2 linked regions of the Oryzias latipes genome follow. The protein of the gene in region 2 binds, or shares a complex with, the protein of the main gene of each other region. Links are inferred from orthologs where the notes say so. Each region holds a gene or a part of one and is shown on either strand. Other genes may lie near its edges. The genes, in order: pdk3 and dlat.

Region 1 (11,819 bases), on a different chromosome or scaffold from region 2:
AACCCCAGATTTCATTCATCACCAAGGACCACCAAGGACCCTTGAAGTTCCACTTCGATCATCTTTTGAGCTCTCTAAAAGCGTTTCCAGCGGTCCTTTAATCATGATTCTCCCATTTTTAGCCAAAATTGAAAAAAAGAATCTATCTAATTTTCTCAGTTTCTGCAGAGCTGCGGTAGTTCATTAGGACCGCAAGCTTTTTCAAAGAGCTTAAATTTCTTTATATATGTCCTCCATCATGAGAAAAATACCACCAGAACATGTTAAAAACAACATTCTCATTCAAACAATCTGCTTTCAGTGGATCAACTGCTCACCTTGAAGAGCTCAAACAGCATGTGGAACAGGTGAGAGGGGACATACACCACCTGGATGGGCTTATTAGGAGCCTTCACTGGAGAATAAACATTTGAGTTTAAACTTTTCCACTGAGAGGCAGATTAGTGGGGGAAAATGTCTGGATTCCTGCACATAACCACACTTACTGTTAAACTCCTCGATCTTGAGCTCTGGAGCTGCGAAGTAGTACTTCTCACACAGCATCTTGGCAGTGTCATAGGCATCTGGTGGAAAAGGGAAAGCATTACCAATAACACAGAAAGGTGAATAGGTTCAGTGCTTATGTTTGGGTTTCTGACACTGTTTACTAAAGCATCTTCTGCTCCTTAAGAGGTCATTCACAGTGCAGCTTCAGATCCCCGCCGCCTTTAGGCTTCTGATGTCCGACTAAGGAAACAATTCATCTCCAATTTCCCAGAAATGCACGGAACAGAGACATTTGCATAGAAGCTTGGATGGGAAAACAAACAGTCCAGAACACAGAAGCAGTTTGACAGTGGGAGGAAAACACGTTCATTTGTTCTGCCTGATCCCTGATCCTTCAGACCAGTATTTTATGGAAGGAGCTTTTAACTCTAAACTCAAAGACACATATTTTCTTTGAAGTTAAAAATTTACGAGCATAAATGTCTGATGAATTTACTAAGGAAAACTTTTAAGCGGTTTGAAAAAGTATTCCAATAAAATTGGTTAAAACCTTTACAAAATGTGAAACTCGGTAGGGGAGAGTTTTATTGCGGCACATGCGTGGCAAAAGGTCTTATTATAGCATTCTGGAAAAGTTCCTTAAAAACTGGAGGAGTATTTGTTCAAAACTTCCACTTTATCACTTAAATGAATTATTTTCTTAGTTAGAAAATGTCGATTTTTGGAGTTTTTGATATTCTCGGTGGGTAATCGGCTCCACGTTGAGCTTCAGCGTTTGCTCCAGCACATCTGGAAAGCATTTAAGAGGCCCACAGAGTCAGTGAAGTAGCTCTTTAGCTTCAGTTTTTCCAGTTAACATTCATAAAGACGGCTCTAGTAAGACAATAAACGTAACAAAACAACAAAAAAACATAATTGGGACCTTATGTGAGTCAATGCTTATACAGCATAAGCATGCAGGAACATAAACACTGCTGAAATAAAGAAATCAAAGCATTTTTTTTTCTACACCTAAATAAAAAAGAAGTTGCAGTTGCAGAGTTGGAATTAAACTCACCCTTCACAACTTCGGCGACATTGCAGGTTGGATCGATGCTGCCAATGTGCTTCGGATGGGCTGGGTTGGTGTCGTTACCAAACAGGAGTGCTGGGTAAGAACAGAACACAGACGCCAAAGTTCAGAGGCGGTGATCCCAATGGAGAACCGCGGCGGCATTTGTCAGACTCACTGTGCTGGTTGATCAGCATGCGAAAAGAAATGCGGTTGGTGTAAAAGCGGTCGAGAAAATACTGGATGTTGCTGCTGACAAAGGGGTCGAAGCCAAACTTCTCCTTGTACTCTATGACTCCCTGAGCCATGGTGGGAACCACATCGTTGTGCCGGTTCCGGATCTCGATTAGGACCTCAAGGAAGCTAATAAAGAAAAAAAGATATACAATTTTTTAAATAAATCAATTAACATAAAAAAAACATTAAAAATGACCAAATTATCATTTGCCTCAAATGGAGTATTAAGGCCACTATGTGAAAAAATAAATAAATATACAAGAACAAATTCTATATTCAAATAATATAGAATAAAATTGTAAATTTATCATTTCAAATTTTGTTAATTTGTTGTTTTTTTGAAAATACAGTTGTAATTTGATGTAAATAAAGTTGTATATTTACAAAAAACAAAAGTATAGAGGATTCAGCGAGTTTTTCCAGCTTCTCTGAGTGGTCTGCAACATGAATTTAAACAGGTAATGTTTAAATGTCAGATGAAACATTATAAAAGCTAAATGCAGAAATTTATGTTCCAAAAGGCACAATTTTTTCCTTGTAAAATTATGACTTTTTAGAATGTACATTTACAATTACTTATCTTGTGACATTTTTACCTATTTTAAAACTTTAGTATTGACTTTTTTTCCCCTCCTTTTCCCCCAAAAATGTACTACTTATAAATTTACTTTTTTCTTATATTTGTACGAATTCCTTGTCTTATAATTGCTTCTTTTTTAATTAAAAATGTACAACTTTATTTTCATAAAATTTAGACTCTTTTCTCATATTTGTATGACTTAATTCTTAATTTTCTCAGAATTTTATGACTTTTTTCTCATATGTTTGTTGTTTTTTCTTCTTTTATGCTGGGTCTAATACTCTGTCGTACGTACATATGTTGCATCTTTTCAATTTTTTTCCGATCCAAAGTCTTTCTGTTATTTTACTACTCTTTTTTTTTTTTAAACACCAAGTCATGCTGATTAGAAAGTTCTAACATGAGTAAGTCTGCCTCAAAGCCAGCAACCTCGACAGCCTGGAGTGTTAGCAGAGCAGACACGCTCCGTCAAATTCCTGTCTGTGTTTGTTGGCTGTGCATGACAGACTTTTGTTGAGGTAATAACACAGAGTGTTACGTGTGAGGTTTGTCTTAACAAGCCTGAGCTTGCTACTCCTGCATCTCAATTGTTTTTAACCACAAGATTTCACTCACTCATTCAGAGTGTGAGGATCCTCTGGCTTCCTGTTCTCATAGTCCAGCAGCTCCACAAAACTCTGCATGTACCTAACAAAGAAAACACAGACTAAAGGTCAACTCCCAACAAAGCCATTAGAACACCTTATCTTAGGGCAGCCAAACAAGCAAAGCAAAAAAAAGAAACTCCTTACCATTTCTGGACCAACCTGACGGAGGGCTGACTCAGCAGTTTATCAGGCAGCAGGTTAACCTCTCTCATGGTGTTGGCCAACCGCACCGGCAGCTCCTTCCGCAGAAACACGTAGGAGGTTTTTTCACATGCATTATCCCTTCCTAACCAAGAAAAAAAGTTTTATTGGGATTTTAGAGATTTTCTTTTTTACCTCAAAACTGATTATTTTGGCAATAACATTTTTGAAAAGTTGAAACTTCTCTTCTAAAAAAAAAAAAAAAGACGATTCTCCTAACAACAATAGTAAACATCCTTACAGTTTAGTTCCAGTTTAGTCTTAGAATCTTCCTTCATCATCAGTTTCATCATCATTTTCCTACCCGGAAGTCAGACGACTCAATCTTTGCGACACTCCAAGTGGGCGGCGCCTATTTCATGATGTCAACCTAGAGTCGGCCTCGACAGCGTGTTTGCCATCCGAACTTTTGCAAAAGATAGATGTGCATATTGTACATATAAAGCGAGAGTGTTTAGCCAATCACCGCTAGCCCCGAGGAGTGTGTGTTAGCCTGGGGGCGGTGCTGGCAGCACAGACTCTTCCTGGAAGGGGCTGCTCCTAACTTTGTGATGTCACAATGTGAGAACCCCCCCTCATTTTTGTGGATTGGGTTGATTGGATAGGGGCTCAGAGAGCAGGTTTTTAGAGGAATACTCAGAGATGCGAGAACGGATAAAAATACCTCTCTGGGGCTGTTCATAGCGAGGAATTAACATTATAATGACTTAAAAGCTCAATAAGTAGATTTTTCCTATTATCGGCCCTGTAAAGAGACACAAACTTTAAACGGTGCTAAACGAATTGAGTACATTATTGTTTGGTATTTGTTACTAATGCCTATTTTTATACCTCTATCATGTCGACTCAGTTGGGAGGATTGTCATGGAACTGATAACTCCAATCAGATAAGAAAGTGACTCACAAGTCAGAGATGTCTGCTTTTAAGATCTCCTGGTGAAAGAGAAACCATGTCAGAGTTGAAAGAGAGATAACTGCTCAGACGTTTTACAGCCCAGCCATCGACTGCTAAACATGCGTTCTTGAAGGCACTAGCGCTTGTCCGCCACCTACGTTAAAGTGGAGCAAATCTCGCAAATCTTGCTCCAGGCTTTTTCTTTCACGGCTCTATTCCAGTGTACAAAAGACTTGGTGTCATAATTCTGTCTGAGCACAAACCACAATTATTGATTTCGCCTCCAAACGGTGAACACTTCCGTTAATTTAAGAGGACATCAAGCATATGTTACTACCTAATCCAAGTCCCTGATTGGTCAAAGTTCAACCCGCTTTAACTTTCAACGTGGGCTCAATGGCATTATATATTTAAAGCCAAAAAACGGTTGTGGAAACTTGTGTAGCTATGCGAGAACAGGAGAGTTTTGAACGCTATAGCCCGAAACCTGGAAATTACCTAGACTTTCCATTGGAAGTGGTCACTTGAGCCCGCGTTGCCAAGGGCGGCGTGAACGTAGCTTACCGCTTCAAAGCAGGATCAGAAGTGTTTAACAATGAAACACTTTGGATATCCTTTTATTGAGGCATATGATTGGTCGGTTTATACCTTGAATAACTTGAACTACAGAAAGAAATATCACGAATAGTAGGATTAGTGGGAACACATAAAAAAGGGTAAAAATATAATAACTGAGTAATAGCTGTTTATTTCTCAACAGAAATCTTTGGGATTTTGGCTTTTTGGAGCCAGCAGGTACTTCCTGTTTGAAACGCAGGGGGAACGGGTCACTCAGTCTAGTTCTCAAATACATTCAATAAACCCAGCAGATTTTTTTGATACTTTTTTTTATGAAAAAGTGAAAGTAAAGAGTGAAAACACTGAAGCTGTGACATCTCAACGTTTAAAACGTCTTCTGTGTCATCATGAACAAGTGTAATCCCCCACTCCACAAGTGTTCTTCCTGTTGCTCACATCCCATCTCCAGCTGTGAGGACAAATGACATAATCACGGATTAAGAAATCCCTGAATGCAGCACAGAAACTCAGTTAACTGCTGTCATCTTAGGGGTTATAACACAACCGACCCTCCAGTTTTCATGTGTCCTAAATAACCATCAAGCTAATCTAAGGAGTGTAAGGAGTCAGATCTTGGCACAAAAAGGAAGGTGTCAGGATGAGTGAGCGGTGTTGTCACCTGGGAGTGCTCAGGTGTGCCTGCACATGTTCCATTAATAAACAGGTGATAAGGATACAGACATGACATGACCTCCCATGGAAGTGGGAATTCAACCTGATCTACACAGAAAATTATATTTCACACCTTTACTATTGATAATAAAACACAATTCACTGCAAAATTCATCAGCAAACAGTGGAATGAGGTCATAAGGCCATTCATAACAGGACATGTTGGGTTTCTACTCACCGAAATCCAAAAACTGCTTGATGGAGAGCGGCGATGGGGAATAGCGGGAGTAGTACTCGATTTTCGGGTGGGCATTTTTGAGCAGAGACAGAAAGAGCCTCATTTTGAAAGTTTAACGATGATGTTGTCTGGCTGTGACGTCAGAGGCTGGCTCAGGACAAATGAGAGCATTTCACCGCCGGTGACAGCGGCAGTCCTCTTCTCTCTCTGTCCGCATTTCCGTCCTCCGACCCGGGTTCGGAAAGGCGCGATGCGGTGAGGTCCATACGGTTACGAGACCCGACACGAACGCTTCCAATTCAGCTTCCTGGATCTACATTTGTGGATGTTCAGATCAGCTCCTTGACGTTAACGCAAACGACGGGACGAATGAACACTTCCTTTGTGGCTTTTCAAAATAAAACTGTTGAAAATAATGTCCGAGGACCTGTTTATTTGATCATTTAAATACTTGTACATTTAAAAAAATACCATTATCTATCTATCTATCTATCTATCTATCTATCTATCTATCTATCTATCTATCTATCTATCTATCTATCTATCTATCTATCTATCTATCTATACATATGTACACAGTACATACCAAAGGTTTGGACATACTTTCTCATTCAAAGAGTTATCTTTATTTTCATGACCATGAAAATTGTAGATTCACACTGAAGGCATCAAAACTGAATTAACACATGAAGAATCATACATAACAAAAAAGTGTGAAACAACTGAAAATATGTCATATTCTAGGTTCTTCAAAGTAGCCACCTTTTGCTTTGATCACTGCTTTGCACACTCTTGGCTTTCTCCTGATGAGCTTCTAGAGGTGGTCACCTGAAATGTTTTTCACTTCACAGGTGTGCCCTGTCAGGTTTAATAAGTGGGATTTCTTGCCTTATAAATGGGGTTGGGACCATCAGTTGTGTTTTGCAGAAGTCGGGTGGATACACAGCTGATAGTCCTACTGAATGGACTGTTAGAATTTGTACTACAGCAAGAAACAAGCAGCTAAGTACAGAAAAACGAGTGGCCATCATTACTTTAAGAAATGAAGGTCAGTCAGTCTGAAAATATAGGAAAACTTTGAAAGTGTCCCCAAGTGCAATCACAAAAACCATCAAGTGCTACAAAGAAACTGTCTCACATGTGGACCGCCCCAGGAAATGTAGACCAAGAGTCACCTCTGCTGCTGAGGATAAGTTCATCCGAGTCACCAGCCTCAGAAATGGCAGGTTAACAGCAGCTTAGATCAGAGAGCAGGTCAATGGCACACAGAGTTCTAGCAGCAGACACATCTCTGCAACAACTGTGAAAAGGAGACTGTGTGAATCAGGCCTTCATGGTAGAATTTCTGCTTGGAAACCACTGCTAAAGAAAGGCAACAAGCAGAAAAGACTTGTTTGTGCTAAAGAACACAAGGAATGGACATTAAACAAGTGGAAATCTGTGCTTTGGTCTGATGAGTCCAAATTGGAGATTTTTAGTTCCACCCATTGTGTCTTTGTGCGACTCAGAAAAGGTGAATGCATGGACTCTACATGCCTGGTTCCCACCGTGAAGCATGGAGGAGGAGGTGTGATGGTGTGGGGGTGCTTTGCTGTTGACACTGTTGGGGATTTATTCCAAATTGAAGTCATACTGAACCAGCATGGCTACCACAACATCTTGCAGCGACTAGCTATTCCATCCGGTTTGTGTTTAGTTGGACCATAATTTATTTTTCAGCAGGACAACGACCCCAAACACACCTCCAGGCTGTGTAAGGGCTATCTGACCAAGAAGGTGAGTGATGGGGTGCTGCGCCAGATGACCTGGCCGTCACAGTCACCGGACCTGAACCCAGTTTGGGTTTGGGGTGAGGTGGACCACATCTCTGTGAACTCCTTCAAGACTGTTGGAAGACCATTTTAGGTGACTACCTCTTGAAGCTCATGAAGAGAATGCCAAGAGTGTGCAAAGCAGTAATCAAAGCAAAAGGTGGCTACCGTAAAGAACCTACAATATGACATATTTTCAGTCGTTATGTACATGATTCTTCATGTGTTGATTCAGTTTTGATGCCTTCAGTGTGAATCTGCAATTTTCATGGTCATGAAAATAAAGAAAACTCTTTGAATAAGGTGTGTCTAAACATTTGGTGTGTACTGTGTATATATATATTCCAATATGCAACCCCAACTAAATTGTGAAAACATCGAAATAAAAATGTTTTAAAATAGCCTTAGCCCTTTATAAAATCTTTAATCCCTAACCCAACCCGAAAATATTTTAAACGTTTACAAAAAGAAAAAAATGGCTTGTAAAAGTGTGAGAAAAAGTTTTAACGTAATGGTCAGCATTATATTTTACATTACTGTACTTCTAAACAACTGTTTAGTATCTCTAGGAAGACCTTATAGAGTTTGTTTGCTTTTTCCTTTAATTTTGAAGGTTCACTTGACGAGCATCCGGTCTGTTGAAGGCGCTTCAGGCAGCACGTACTTAAAGGAGAAACGTCGTCTCAACCGCAAAGGCGGGGGCTTATTCCACCACTATTTTGATTGGCTTAGAGCTGGGAAGTGGCTGAAAGCAGCACTCCAATTGGTCGGAGGCGCGTCAGTCACCATCATTTACGTTTCCTTGTTTGTTTATTGCGGTCTGCGTAGATGATGCGATTAAACTTTACTTTAAACCTTTAAAACGGTTCCTAAAGTGTTGTCAGGAACGATGCGTTGTGTCGAGTGCTGACCTTTAAAGGAGCGCTGTTGGTAAAAATGCATAAACGTTTCAATTGTACTTCATTCTCGTTCTTGTCTCTACTGCCATCTGGTGGTGATTTACTGATTGGCCGGTGGGGTATTAGCAGATTGCCTTTAGGTTTTCACTGTGAAAAGAAACCTTATCTACCTGCACAAAAAGTGACATAATTTTAGATCTGATTTCTAACGACAAAAACCAAGAGTTAAAAGTATTTTCCTAACTTTAACTATAAACTAAAGTAATTGTCCTTTTTCAAATTATTAGTCTGATTTTGTTTTTAATAAAAGAAAAAAACAGATGTAGCAACTATGCTTTTTTTTAATTGCATCACTAACAAATCTGCTGCAATAGATTAAAATAAATTCAAATTCGGTGGAAGAGTTTTGGGATTTTGCTCTGATCACAAATATCAAGCAACGTTTTTTTTATTCAGTATCAAATAAGAATGTGAAACCAAGTTGTACATTTAAATTTCACGTTGTTCCTTGAATAATACTTAAACACAAACATAGTAAATGGGCCACAGTAAAAAATTCAAAAAAGGCAAACTGGTAAAGATCTTAACTCAAAAAAACAATGTTTTTCTTTTTTTCATAAAAGAAATAATTTCAACTGAATGTCAATATGTTTCAAAAATATAAAATGAAGCAAAAGGCAGGAACTCGGGGGTGTACTGCTCTGCAGAAATTAAGATACGGTCTTAGAAATTCAGATGAGCATGAGATCCTTTGCTCAAAAACCTGTGAAGGCCATGTCACAAGGTCACTACGTACATTTTGCTCTTTTTCCCACACATGAATTTTGGTCTTTCATGAAACATGCGTGATATATGTAAATCGTGGGTTTCTTGCTTTCATCATTTGTTGATGTGATGTCCGTCGAGGGTTTCGGCCGACTGATCTTTACGTGAATTTAGTTTTGAGCTGTTCAAAATTTTGGGTCGGTTGAGAATTACGCAGCGCACGCGTATTTATTGAAGTTTACACGCATTATTACGTAAATTTTACGCAACTGTGTGGGATTTTTGGAAGATCACATTAAAAATACATTGTTGATGTACCAATCACTATGAATTGCATGTAAACAGCGGAATAATCCTGCACGGTTCATGTTCTACGTTGATTTTCGGGTTCTTTGCGTGGTTTATTCGTACTTCATCTGTGGTTTTAACGTGGTTCATTGGTGATACATCGGCGAAAATTTTACACAAAGACCACAACTTTTCTCACTTTTTCCACATTTACTCACGTGTGACCAATTCTCATCCCAGCAAAATTTACATTGAGACTGTGTGACATGGAGTTTTAGGAAATTGAGTAAAACAGTAATTGAAGCAGTAAAAAAAGTTTTTTATTGCTATTTGCTCAAAGTAAAACTATATTAATTTTAAACGCAAATTCTTTTGTGTGACTAACATTTTACTCTAAGGCTTCTCCTCCCAATTTAGGTTTTGTTTGTGGACAAATAACCAGACCAGACCATTAAAAAAAGTTATTTCACGTTTTAAGACAGCTCAAGCACGGTATAGCTTTTTTAAAAAAACAACTCAATGTGGATCTAAAAGTGTCAGAAATGCACAAAGAATGCAAAGTGAGGTACAACAAATCCCACAGGATCAATCCAAATGACATCTGAACGGGAGCTACTGCATCAGTCAGTCCAGATACGGAAATTCTTATATGTAAATTGAGAACACCCTCACACAAAAAGGCAAATCCACAAGCATGTGTTCACTGGGAACAGAAAAATTCAGGAAGTAAAAAAACACAGAGAGAACGAGGTATTATGGGAAACAGGTGTATGAAGTTAAACACAGCAAAAAGCAACAAAACTCAAACCAGGTATAGTCAAAACACACATGATGACTTAAAGGCGCCAAATGGAACAAGGTATTTGGAAAAACAAAACAAGAGATGTCAAAAACTTAAAGGTGCAAAATTCCTTAATGTTTCAAAAGCTGCATAACAGGAAAGTGAAAGTTCATTTTGACATTTCCTTTCATTTTGCTCCTCTTGGCTGTTCTTTCGAAGTGCAGAGAAGATATGATTTACATTTGAAAGACTAAAACTATTACATGCTTTGAAACACATAAACTTAATAAGAGCCATGGCCATAAATCCTGTTGAGCTTCAGTCATCTAGTGGTGATATAAATCAGTTCATTATGTCTGTTTGTAATCAGCGGGGGGGTTTCAGCCTTCCTTCCTGCTGCCTTCAGCCGGCTATAAATGAATGAATATGAACGTACAGTTTGTTGTTTGGAAAAAAAATGTCCTGACTGATCCTGTCTTTCTTTCTTTCTTTCTTTCTTTCTTTCTTTCTTTCTTTCTTTCTTTCTTTCTTTCTTTCTTTCTTTCTTTCTTTCTTTCTTTCTTTCTTTTTCTAACTGATGTGCAGATGTGAGGGAAAAATCTGGACTTTCTTTCATAAAGAAGAAAAAATGATCAACACTGTTAGGTTAAGATGAGCTGAAAAACACTGTAAGCAGCTGAAACTAAAAAAAAAAAAAAAGTGAGGAAAGCATGCAGGGAAACAGATCTGAGCGTATCAGCTGATGCTGCTGTGTGTGCTTTTTTTAAGTATTGTTACATTTTTGGTTTAGGACATAAGTTGACCTGAGTTTTCTTTCAATCTGTAACTTTGGACGCAGCTTTGTACATGTATATAAATTCAAGCAAACATTAGAAGTAAAGTCAGAGACTTTTCCTGTTTTGTAAGGCGTTCAGTCCTCACGCAGAGTCCGGTATCACCACCATCTTTGTGTTTTCGTTGTCGTCTAGATCTTCGACGGGCAAAGGGTCATACTGCCTTCGGTACAGCATCCGCGTAACCAGAGTGATGATGAACATCTCCAGGATAAGGAGCTGCTGGCTGAGCACTGCGGAGACAGACAGCAGGAAGTGAGATGGAGATGGAAGAAGACGAAAGGAGCAATCTTCACAGCTGGACACATTTCTCCATCCAAATGGAAGGACGTCGCTGATTCCCACAGATAAGCAGAGACGACGGATTGTACTGTTATTGAGGACTCACTGTATCCCCTGGCTACGGAGGAAAATGGCGGCGAGCAGGCGATGACTCCATTTATCGCCAAGATGTTGATGATAGCTGACTGCAGCTGTGTCAGGATCAGGACCAGCTAAAACACAAACACACACTATTAAAAATGGGCAAATGTTGTAATTTAAGAGTAAAATGTTGTTTTTTTAATCTATTTTTGCAGAGCTGGTTGAGTGTTGCAAGTCAGAATTTGTACCTGGTACATGGCGTATTTGGGGATTATCTTAACTGTCTGCAGAGTGGTCCTTAGGTGCATGAATATGATGGCCACAGGCCACAAAGCAATGACTGTCAAGATGCCCACAAAGGGGTTAATCCACATAACAGCTCCTGTGATGCTCAACTGAAAAATATTGGGATTAGAGAACAGAAAAACACTGCTGAGAAGCAATTAAAGGGATAAAAAAAAACTCAAGAACTACTCATGTTTAGCTGTAACTCTAAAATAGATCCTTCTTTTGG
Region 2 (11,783 bases):
TGTTTGGAGAGAAGAGCAGTTTATGAATGAAAAAGGAGCCTGTTGGACCTAGTGTCACCTGCTGATGAATTGCTGAAAACAGCAGGTTTGTAGCATTGACTGTACAAGAGAACTGGACTGAGTGACTCCTCCCCTCTTGTGTTTCAAACAGGAAGTACCTGCTGGTTTCAAGAAGCCAGAATCCCATAGATTCTATTAAAAAAACATCTATTATTCAGACATTATACTGTTAATGCCTGCACAATGAATCGCAAATTTACAGTTATCAATTATCAATATCAAGCTGTGCAATATGCATATCTCAAAAGACACCAAAAATTGCACTAAAGGGTTACCTTAAATGTGCTAAAACCATCTTAAGGCTGCTTGAGGTATTTAACGAATCAAATAAATCCCTTCATGCATTTGACCAATCGGATGGAGCCCTTATGTTAGATGTTCACCTCCTATGTAGACGAAAGTCATTTGGAGTATAATTTAAATTATGCTGACTCTAATTTAAATTAAACTGTTGACTCTAATTTAAACTGTTGCAGTGAAATGGAAATGATGTTTTTGGTTGTTTTGCTGTTTATTCATGTATCGCCAGATTGATCACTAATATGGCAAATCGTGAATTTTCCTCTTATCATGTAGCCCTACTATTGTCTGAATAACCATTTTTGATAATCTAATTTTTTATATTTTTATCTGTAGTGTAGTTAGAAACTGGCCAATCAGATGCCTCAATGGAAGTAGGTGGTCTCATGTGAAACGTTTAGAACATTTAATTGACAGATTCTCCTGAGCCTGCTTTCAGGTGGACTTCCAACAAGCCATTTCTGATAGGTGAGAATGGTTGCCATAGAAACAATGACCCAGACCGACTTGGATCAATCACTGCTTACTGATGATTTCTGGCTCCAACATCGATGTCCGTATTGCGCAAATAATGGCCACTGAATTGGCTTCATTTAATTGAAGCCAGAGGTAAAATATTTTCTGTGGATGACATCACACTCACTTGGTCCAGTTCTCATATACTATATATAGTATAGTATAGTCTCATATACTACAGTCAATACTTTGTAAGGGGTGTGGTCTGATGGTTAGCCCCACCCCTTCTGCAGCAGGATGTTCCTTCTTTTAGAGTGGTGGCTCACTTCCTATCCACAGTAAATGCATCATGATATGAATTTAGGGGAAAACAATGAAAATTTAAAATACTTTGACTTCCTATCAGCGGATTCAGCATCTGAAGTCTTTCTACACAAGTTAAAATTTCAATTATTTAAGTCAGTCTAACTTGAATAGGATCTTTCCAGTAAACAGACCCAGAATACACCAGATTTTACGCATTTGCATGTCTTTTTTCTCTTCTTTTTCCTCATTAAAGACCCAATCTGATTAAAAAATAGTTTTCTTGTGTTTTTAAAATGTTTTTGTGTCCTTTTTCTGATGATGGAAGACATCTAAAGAACATTAAGCATAAAATTGCATTTTCCGATTATTTCTTTATTCAAATCATTGTGAAGCAGGAGCAGAGAAAAAAATGCATTTTTAAAAAGATGTAGAAAATATGCTGGGTGGGCCACCAGCTTCCTATTCCACTCTGTAAGAGGGACTGAAAGAGGACGAAGGACTTAATTACTCACTTACTGCCAACGGTCCTGCCCACATCTCAAAGGCAAATTTCTAATGAACTACTGCCGCTCTGCAGAAACAGAGTCCTAGAAAATGACACAGGTTTTTTGAGTTTGGCTAAAAGCAACATAATCAAAATAAAAAGACCACTGGGAACATTTTTACCATAGATCAAAAGATGATCAGACAGGAACTTTTACCGCTGATGTATTCTTTTAGTCTCAGAAAAAGTTTCTTTTGTTCTTCACCGTGGGGTTTAAAAAAAAAAATCTGTCGTGTTTTTGTCTCCTCCTGGCAGGCAGAGGAGGTCCAACTGATGCAAGATGCTCTGAGGAGTCTGAGGAACAAGTTTTTGGACCACGACCCTCAGCAGCACACCCTGGACACTCTGGAACAGGGCATTGTGTCGCTCATGGACCGACTGCACGCTCTGCACACGCACAGGGTACGCACAGGCCAAACACATCAGTCATGGCTAAATTTTAGGATTATTTGAATTATTTTAAGTAGAACAGCTGTAAGGTTTGGGTTGTTTGAAGGGGTTTTCCAGGAGATTTTTTTCTCGTTGAGGAGTAGATGTTCTTAGCTCTGAGCTTCCTCATGAACCTCTGCAGGAAAGAGGGAAATCTCCACGACGCAAAGATCAGCACACACACTTGGACTCATGGCCTTCCACGAGTAAGGAGCACCAAAAAGCCCAGGATGTGTTCAGGTGTAACCCACAGACTAACCCTGTGGTGTTGCTGCTCATTTCAGAAACTTTCAAGTCCCACAACGGCTCGACGTCCTCCACAAAAATCCTTTATTTTACTGGGAAGTCCATGACTCCTTCAATGATCAACATACCCAAGAGGTTGGTGTTTGACATCTGTCTTCTTGTGCTTTCTATTATGGTCTATGTGAAATGAGCCACTTCCTGTTGGACAGATTGGGCGAGGTGACTCTCAGGGATGTTAAGGCAGCTGTGGATCGAGAAGGAAACTACCGGTATCACTTTAAAGCTCTGGACCCAGAGTTTGGCACAGTAAAAGAGGAGGTAGAGAAGATCCAGCTTCATGCAGTGATGAGTTTTTAAGTTTTTTTTTTTTTTTAAAGATGTGTTTGTTTGCAGGTCTTCAACGATGCAGCACTTGTTCCAGGGTGGGAGGGGAAAATTGTGGCGTGGCTGGAGGAGGAGCGAGGGGAGGACAGGTAAGCAGGGGGTTCTCTACTTTTCTCCACTGGCTCCTCTGTTGGTTGTCTCATCACTTCTTCTTCTCTCAGGCCTTTATAGTTTCAGGGAAAAGGACAAACTCCCATGATTCCTGAGCCAAAGCACATCGGAGCGACCCCAAAATGGGCCTGTGGGCTGCAGATAGTCGCTGTGCTTTTCTACACAAGTGCCTTCATGACCGGAGCTCTGCCTGTCAATCAAAACCCCAGCAGTGTTCTGAGTTTAATGAATGTTGAACATTGTTTGTAGACATCAGTCTCGCATCCACGATTCTTTTAGGAAAAAGCAGGTCATTTTTATTTTAGTTTTAAAATAAAGTGTTTTTTATTATTCCAGAACAAAAGAAAACAGTGTTTTTTTTAAACAATGTCTGTAATGGAATGTTCTGTTAGAAAACAAGAATCAAATGGTTAACAGTGGTGTTTGTGTCTACACATCTATCTGCAGACCATTAGTTAGTCTGTGAAGGGAAGAGGATCTTTTATTTTGAAATGTTGCACTTTTGTTCTTGTTTTGTTGAACATATATTCAACAAAACTGATTGGACTTTTTATGTAATTTGCTAAAAAAAAATCTTTTTTATGTTGGAGGTTTCTGTTTCAGAGCAGTTTAAAGTATGTATGTTTGCGTGCGTGTATAATAAAAAACATATGTGGATGGCTGACACGCTGGATTTCTTCTGCTCTGCTCAAGTGTCGCCGCTGCAGACCAGTACGTTTTTCAGCAACCAGCTGGCAGCAGTGCCTTTTGCAGGTTTCTGGTTTGTATTTTTATTTAAAAACTATCCCTACCTTCTGTTTACGAAAAAAGATTTGTTAGATATTTTCAAATAAATGAGTCCTTTTTGAAAATGTCTGTTTTCCTTATTTTAATGATGAGCTTCCATCTACATTTACATGAAGATTTCCGCACAAATAAAATAAACTTAAGGTTTCCCACTTCTGTTTGACCTCCAGTTTAAGGGCACATTCACAGAAATGGCAAGGTTGTTTTTAAATTGGTTAAATGTTCAAACATAATTAAATATATATCACAGAAATGTGTATCTGTTAAATTTCAGGACTCAAAAAGATTGTTTAGTTGTAGTTGTTTTTTTATTAAATTTGTAACCAAATAGTGTACAATCGTCAAATCAGGGGCAGAGGAGTCCTCAGCAAAAAGTATTCCAATTGAAGATTATTTTATTAAATATACTTTGATATCAATACAGCAAATAAACTATAGACCATGAAGATGTAGTGCAGGAAGTGTTCTACCTTCATATTTTTTCAGATTCAATTGGAACATTGACAAAAAATAGATATTGTACAAAAAAGTACACCGTCTCACTTTTAATACAGACTATTTGTAGTGCAACTATGTAGACTACTTTTTGCCAAGGGATGTTGGAGAACAAAGGGTGTTTCAGGTTTTTTTAAAGTCTATATTTTAAATCATAATTTGACGATACTTTACAATTTATTGGTCTTTAATATACATATCCCGACAGAAACTTCAAAATCTGTTTTATATTTAGAGGACTTTAAATAATTTTTATTTCTGTCTCCCCCTTGCCATAAAACACTGCCATCTTATCAAAAATTTAGTAATTAATTTTTATCTTTAATAGTATCCCCACAAAATAAATATTTTTGAAAAACTATAAAAGTAACATGTTAGACATAAATAGTAGGATACATGACTGCACTGTTTTATTTAGCTGTCAATTATATGTTTATTTTGTTGACATTTTCAAAATGTCAAGTTTAATTTTATTTCATTTTTTATTTATTCTATGAAGAAGTTTGATTTGTGGGTGTGCGAAGGAATCAAAAAAATATTGCTATACTGCCACTGTGTGGACACTTTTAGGACTGCAGTAAACTAATTTGCAATTTGAACATATTTAAACGTTTGGAAAATGTATTATGAATAAAATTATATTTTTTAAAATTTTATTTTTGTTTGTTCTTTCCTTTTTGTTTTTATAACGTTTGAAACGTTTTTCCTTGGTCGAAATCGAAACAAGTAGCGTTTACGACACCTCCAGCGCAGTGACGGCAACCCTTGGAGGAGAGCCGTAAAGTGTCGTGTGAGGAGGTCATTAGAAAACGGGGAAGGTCTCTTCTCCTTCGTAGTCTCGGGCACTTTTGTTTTGGTTCCGTGTGGCCTCCGCTTCGAGTGGACATGCTGCGTCTGTTGCTGCGGCTCCGGCCGTGTGGTCGCTCCGGGCCCAGAGTCCTGCCAGCCCGGCCTGTCGCGCTTGGCTCCCGCCCCAGATGCAGCGGTGAGAGGCGGCTACACTGCGGAGCCGGGTCACGAACGTCGGCCTTGGGCTTGGTCTACAGTCACAGAGCCGGCCTGCTACGGTCTTCCCAACTGGTGGGTTCCGGCCCGAACACACGGTTCTACAGTCTGCCGCCACACAACAAGGTAAGCTTAGAACCGTCAGGGTCACGCGGCTCCGGTGCTCACCGTGCTTTGCTGGTGCAGCCCAGCTGGGTGAAGGTGACAGGCTCCCAACCCGCAGAAGTAACCACAGATTGTTAAAAATGCTCTTTAAGGCTAAGTGTTTAGGGTTCGGCCTCTACTATATCTGAATGGAACAACAACTTTTGGTTCTGTGAAGGTTCTGTAAAGTTCTGCTACATCCCGACCCAATAATCATTTCTCAGATCCAGGAAATAGATGGTTGTTCTGCAGGGATTTGGTTCGATTCCCCATATTTTACTTGTATTAGTTTTTCATTCTGAATAAAAAATCTTAGCTGTTGAAATTGAAATAATAAAAACATTTGAAAAGTTTTGATCACAATTATTATAGCTTTGGACTTTTATATCAGATTAAATTATTAACAATTACACCAAATCCAGTTTTCCATTATTGCAATTTTTTGCTATTTATTTAAGAAATTGAAACTTTTCTAACTATGATAAAAGTTATTCTGCAAAGCTTGAAAGTGTTATGAATCAAAATGGCATCAATTTAGAATTTTTGACCAAAGTATTAAGGTATTTTAATAGGAAGTAGTTGAGAGTGGTTTATATATTTACTCAACAGGTTTGTTTCTTCCACACATATTCAGGAGAATATAGTCTCTCAGACACTAAAACATGAATCTAAAAGTATCTATTTGTTCAGTAAAGTTGAGGAGCCACAATCATCAGGAATAACCTTTTTTTAAGCAGAAATCTTCTCCATCTCCTCCCTCGCTGCTGTTTTTGTGTCTCAGATTCATGGCGGATGTTTGGAAGCTTCTTTTATTTTTACCTTTAGCTCAAAGCTTCTGTTTGTTGACCTCAGCTGCTTCCAAAAGGTCCACAGCTGTGTTGAAATCGTTGGTGTTTACTGAGCGGAGTGGTATGATGTGGTGTGATGGACGCTGACACCATAACCAGTGACTAGTTCTTTTCCTCCTTCTTCTGTGGTGGGCGTTCCTGCAGCCTCCTCGTCTTTCGCTGACCTCTCGGGTTTGTTTGTTGCAGGTGGAGCTTCCTTCTCTGTCGCCCACCATGCAGACGGGGACCATCGCCCGCTGGGAGAAGAAGGAGGGGGACAAGATCAGCGAGGGCGAGCTCATAGCCGAGGTCTGAAGGGCGCACAATATTTCCCAGATCCACCCAGATTATTTTTTTTTTAAATAATAAAACACTTGTCTCGCTTTCCGTAGGTGGAAACGGACAAAGCTACTGTAGGTTTTGAAGTAATGGATGAGTGCTACCTGGCGAAGATCCTGGTTCCTGAAGGCACCAGAGACATTGCTGTTGGATCAGTGATCTGCATCACCGTGGAAAGGTCGGTGCTTGTCATGAAGGTTTGGGAGCAGGAGAGACTTCTGCTGGAAAAAAGATCCTATCTGTGTTTCATCTCAGCCCAGACATGATCGCAGCCTTTAAGGACGTGTCTTTGGATTCTCTCAAATCCCCTGCCGCCGCTCCTCCCCCTGCAGCCTCAGCTCCTCCCCCTGCTCCTCCAACCGCTGCTGCTCCACCCCCCGCAGCGCCGGGCAGCTCCTACCCGCCACACTTGAAGGTAGGCGTGCTCCTGCAGGAGGAACTCTGATTACAGTCGGAGCTGTAAGGTTTTCTTTTTTGTTTCAGGGTGTAGTCTTGATGTTTACCTGCAAAACTGGCTTATGGTGAAGTAGGCCTGCACGATATTAGAAAAATCTGCGATATGCGAGATCAGTGTTTGAAACTGCGATGACGGTATGACTTGCGATAAATGGAAAAATAGAAAAGCAAAAATACCAATACATTTTGGTTTCAGTGTGAGTTTTATTCAAATAATTCAACACAACTTAAATTAACGTGCAAGTTTTATTCAAAAAGAAGAAAATATATTCACCATAGAACTTGCCAAAACTAAGATGAATGATTACAAAAAATATATATAGATGCCCAGGAATAAAATAAGTTGGTGTCTCCTACATTTCCATTTTACTGCAAGTGTTATTAAATAAGTCAACATAACTTAAAATCCAAGTCTTTTTCAAAAAGGAGAAAAAGGTAAGACCTATAGCTGTGGGCAAAACATAAATGAACAATGAAGAAAAAAGATAGAGGCCCACAACTTAAACGTGACCTAGTATGAACTATAAAGGACAGCATCAGTATGTGTCATTATGGCAAGTTCTTTGAAAGGAAAACCAGCATGTTTACTTTTGTTGGTTTCAAACATGTGCGCTGACATGTTACTATGTTTCCTGATGTACTGAAAAGTCTCTCTGAAGGTGAGCTGCTTGCAGGTATGCAGAGATACTTCCTTGCAAGCTTGCTCAGCTGTGAGAATGTAATTTGGTGGAGTTTCCACCATGCCAAGGGGTCTTCTTCACTGTCTAGGGGTGCAGACAGCAGGTAGCTATTAAGCTCAGCTTCTACAGCTTGTGACAATTGCGCAACAGATGAGCTGGGGAGTGGGCTTGTCTTGAAGAAACTCCCCAGTGACTTTTTTGCCTTTTTCAGCGGAGCACTGGGTGGATCATTGGTCTTGGCTTCTACATCTGTGGAGCTTCTCTCCTAAAACAAAAGCAAAACATGAGGAAAAAAAAGATTTTGGACAAAAGAAACATCTCTGGAAAAAAACATGCATGCATGAATAACCTTTTGTGCCACTGCTTCCATTTCTGACAGCACCCTGGTCTTGATGTTTGAGACTTGATCAGTGCTGATATAGCTGGCTTTGAATCTGGGATCCATGAAACACGCCATGTCCAGAAGTTCTTGGGTAGCTGGATTTTCATATTTTGTAATCAAGTAGTCAAGGATTTTTTTCTTGATTGATTTTGTCAAATCACCATCCGCTTCCTTCTCTGCGAGCACTGATGTCTTCATCAGGTGGAGGACTGGCTTCACATATGAAACACTAACATAGATCTCACCTGACAGAGCATCTGTGAAGTCTTGCAGGGGGTGTAATGCCTGGTTGACAGATTCCAGTACATCCACATCCTGCCAAGTAGGAATCAAATGCCTGGATTTCTTGTCTGCTGAGAGAACATCAGAAATGGCCCGCTGCTGCTCCAGGACTCTCTCAATCATCTTCTGCCTGCTACCCCACCTTGTTGGACATTCAGTGACGAGTGTGTGCTCAGGGAGGTTGTGATCCTTCTGTGCTTTTTTCACAGCAGTCTTGGCTTTCCAGCTGTGACAAAAATGTCCAACTAGCTTTTTGCAAAGGCCAATGGCTCGAGCGATGCGGGCATCATCTTTGATGGAATTTTCTTGAATAAGAGGAAGACACACAAAAAAATAACTAATTATTAAACCTGTTTGTAAAAAAAAAAAAACATTAGAAATGTATAATAATTTAAAAATGAATAACAAGTCATTACAAGTGAATAATTAAATCACGACTTGCATGTTCTCGAATTATACTGTCATTTTAACATCTTGGAGCTATTCAAAATAGTTTGATAATAATTTACATATTTTTTTCATAAAGATCCATCTTAAATAAACTCACCAATTGCAAGGTGCAGCCTGTGTCCAAAACACTGAAGCCTGACCCACTTGTTGAGCTCCGTGGCTCTAACGACGTTGGGACCGTTGTCCGTGGTGATGCACACCTGTCGCTCTTCTTCAAGTTCCCAGCTTGCCAGCACGTCTAGTAATACGTGCACTATGTTTTCACTTGTATGCGACTCCGGGAAATACACGGTCTCCAGACAACGCGTTTTTAATTCAAAGTCCGCAGTGAGAAAATGCACCGTAAAACTCAAATAGGGTTCAGTCGTGCGGCTTGACCACAGGTCTGTGGTACTTGTAAAAAATCCGGCTTGGCTCAATTCAGACGTAACGGTCTTGCGGCACGTCTCATACATCTGTGGAATGGCGACTTGTGAAAAGTAATTTCGTGAAGGGATTTGATATCTCCGGTCCATTTTGTCCATCAAATTGACAAAGCCCTGTCGGCTCACTGTGTTTATTGGCATCATGTACTTTGCCAAAAAATGTTAAATGGCCTCTGTTATTTCTTTGTACCGCTTTGAAGTTTTTTCATAAGGAGTTCCACTCGCAAAACTCTGAAATACGGACGTCTGTTGGCCTGCCGAGCTCTTCTTTTTTCTCTGACTTAGCAGGTGTTTTGCTCTCCCTAGATGTCATGAACTCTTTAAACAGATCTTCGTGGTTGTATTGAAGGTGATGGTGGAGATTGCTGGTGTTTCCTCGGGTGGTTGCCACAGGTGTTCGGCATGTTTTGCATAGTACCTGTGTTTGGAGAACGTCGCCCGTCCTGAAACCAAAGTACCTCCAAATAATCGACATGCTTTTTTTTTTCGCCATGAGCACGTCCTCCGAGATATTGCTGTTAGCCATTGCAAGTCTTGTTTGGTCAAATGTCGGATGAAAAAAGTACGTAGTTTTTTTTTTAATACTCCAGCACTATGTAGAAGGCGGGTATCTAACATTAGGGGGCTCCAGTTGATTGGGCAATGACACGAAGAGCTCCATACCATTGGTTGAATGCATAAAGGGCTTTATTTGATACGTTACTTAAAACTACAAAGAGATAGTTTAGCTTTTATGTAACCTTATTAGGAGGCGACTTATCGCCATTTTGCCTCCTTTTGCGGTATGCATACCGCATTGGCCTGATACTGCGATGACGATAAATTTGCGGTTAATCGTGCAGGCCTATGGTGAAGTATCTTACCGGGAGGCAACAATAATAGTTGTGTAGATTCATTGTTTTATCAGAAAGCTGATATTTTTTAGGGAAAGTCTTCTTCCTTGTGCAGATGGGACACACTTTCTGAGGGGGTTAGCCATCAGGGCAGGAGTTATTTTTTTGGTGCTTCAGTGATTTCGTTAATTTTTGTTGAAACGCATTTAAACATTGTTTTTTTGTGCGGTTTTTAGGTCGCACTTCCTGCTCTTTCTCCCACCATGACGATGGGAACGGTGCAGCGCTGGGAGAAGAAGGTCGGCGAGAAGCTCGGTGAAGGAGATCTCCTTGCAGAGATTGAAACCGACAAAGCGACCATCGGTAAACCCAAACGGGCTCTGGCTGCAGATGGACCAGTGTGAGCATGACACAGACTTGATGCTCTGTGTGTTTGTCTGCAGGATTCGAGGTCCAGGAAGAAGGATATTTAGCCAAAATCCTGGTCCCAGAGGGAACTCGGGACGTTCCTCTGGGACAGACGCTCTGCATCATAGTAGAAAAAGAAAGTGACATCGCCGCCTTCAAGGATTACATCGAGACTGGGATGGCAGAGGCCTCCATGCCCCCACCACCTCCAGCCCCTGCAGCGGTGAGACAAAAATGGAGAAAACCCCCCCCTCTTTTAGGACAGGTCCTTTTAATAAATATTGTTTCTCTGTGCTCTCCCTGCAGACTGCAGCGCCTGCAGCCACAGCACCCAGTTCTGCAGCCGCAGCTCCAGCGGCGCCAAGGAAGGGCCGTGTTTTCGCCAGTCCACTCGCCAAGAAACTGGCAGCTGAGAAGGGAATCGATTTGGCTCAGGTCAGCGGTAGGTGACCAAAACACAACGAACGCGCTAGAGCTTTCAGGAAAAGAATCAGCCGCTCTGAAATAAAATACAGCTCATTCAATACATGCATGCATACATGTCTGCATGCATCCATGCAAACATGCATGTATGCATGCATACATATGTACATACAGTCATCTATGTATGCATGCATGCAGACATACTGCTCATATAAGTGCATTAGATAAAATGTATTTCTGGTTCCTGCTCAGGATCTGGACCTGATGGACGCGTCACTCGGAAAGATATCGAAAGCTTTGTTCCTCCAAAGGCTGCACCCGTGAGTAAAGCCACATATATCCCCAACTTTTGGTTTATTTTTTTTATCATGAAAGTAAATCATAATTAAGATTTCGAGTGTTTATTGCTCAGAGTTTGTTTAAAATGCTGTTGCCTTAGAGATTGAGTCTTAATATTTGCTGGGATTTTTCTATTTTTCATTTTGCCAAATGACTGGTATTTGCGGGCAGGCAGCAGCTGCTGCTCCCTCTCCATCAGCAGCAGCAGCAGCTCCTCCTTCACCCGCTGCTGCACCCGCTGCTCCAGCTGGCACCTTCACAGACTTCCCCATCAGCAACATCCGCAAGGTGAGCGCTCAGCACGGCTTCCTCTTTTCTGCCGGCAGAAGTCTGCACGGCCCCACCGTTAAACCAGGAGTTTTGAATCCATTCTGGAGTGCATGTTTACGCGTGTCCCCCCCCTCCCCTTACAGGTCATCGCTCAGAGGTTGATGCAGTCCAAGCAGACCATCCCTCACTATTACCTGTCTGTAGACGTCAACATGGACCAAGTGCTGGAGCTTCGAAAGGAGCTGAACGAGGTGAGTGTGGGACGCCGCTCCACCTCTCAACACGCCATGTTTGGCCCCTTACCAAGACGCCGCTTCTGTTTTTACAGGAGGTGAAATCCCAGAACATCAAGCTGAGTTTGAATGACTTCATTATCAAAGCCAGCGCCTTGGCTTGCCTCAAA

Evidence for each region.
Region 1: the proteins of dlat (region 2) and pdk3 are in contact, whole or in part, in a crystal structure (PDB 1Y8N), measured with the Homo sapiens proteins. The link is inferred for Oryzias latipes from reciprocal best matches to the Homo sapiens genes DLAT and PDK3. Residues at the interface, in NP_001922.2 of Homo sapiens: Ala225, Leu226, Ser227, Pro228, Thr229, Glu248, Gly249, Lys259, Ala260, Ile262, Glu265; in NP_005382.1 of Homo sapiens: Arg21, Phe22, Ser23, Pro24, Ser25, Pro26, Leu27, Phe48, Lys51, Val55, Asn373, Lys374, Ser375, Arg378.

What each region holds. Positions count from the first base shown.
Region 1 is NC_019878.2:15,199,521-15,211,339, forward strand, and holds the start of pdk3 (pyruvate dehydrogenase kinase, isozyme 3), read right to left. Parts: upstream 5,944-11,819; 5' UTR 5,669-5,943; coding exon 5,566-5,668; intron 3,288-5,565; coding exon 3,146-3,287; intron 3,042-3,145; coding exon 2,970-3,041; intron 1,901-2,969; coding exon 1,716-1,900; intron 1,634-1,715; coding exon 1,544-1,633; intron 564-1,543; coding exon 486-563; intron 395-485; coding exon 318-394; intron 1-317. Other genes in the region: organic solute transporter subunit alpha, read right to left, coding at 11,027-11,175, 11,331-11,436, 11,554-11,700. UniProt on the Homo sapiens protein: Inhibits pyruvate dehydrogenase activity by phosphorylation of the E1 subunit PDHA1, and thereby regulates glucose metabolism and aerobic respiration. Can also phosphorylate PDHA2.
Region 2 is NC_019872.2:13,263,440-13,275,222, forward strand, and holds the start of dlat (dihydrolipoyllysine-residue acetyltransferase component of pyruvate dehydrogenase complex, mitochondrial), read left to right. Parts: upstream 1-4,858; 5' UTR 4,859-5,002; coding exon 5,003-5,248; intron 5,249-6,061; exon of another isoform or gene 6,062-6,300; coding exon 6,301-6,402; intron 6,403-6,485; coding exon 6,486-6,610; exon of another isoform or gene 6,611-6,687; coding exon 6,688-6,847; intron 6,848-10,176; coding exon 10,177-10,303; intron 10,304-10,383; coding exon 10,384-10,571; intron 10,572-10,654; coding exon 10,655-10,790; intron 10,791-11,023; coding exon 11,024-11,091; intron 11,092-11,281; coding exon 11,282-11,398; intron 11,399-11,523; coding exon 11,524-11,631; intron 11,632-11,708; coding exon 11,709-11,783. Other genes in the region: dixin-like, read left to right, coding at 1,922-2,068, 2,238-2,301, 2,380-2,476, 2,551-2,659, 2,735-2,814, 2,887-2,896.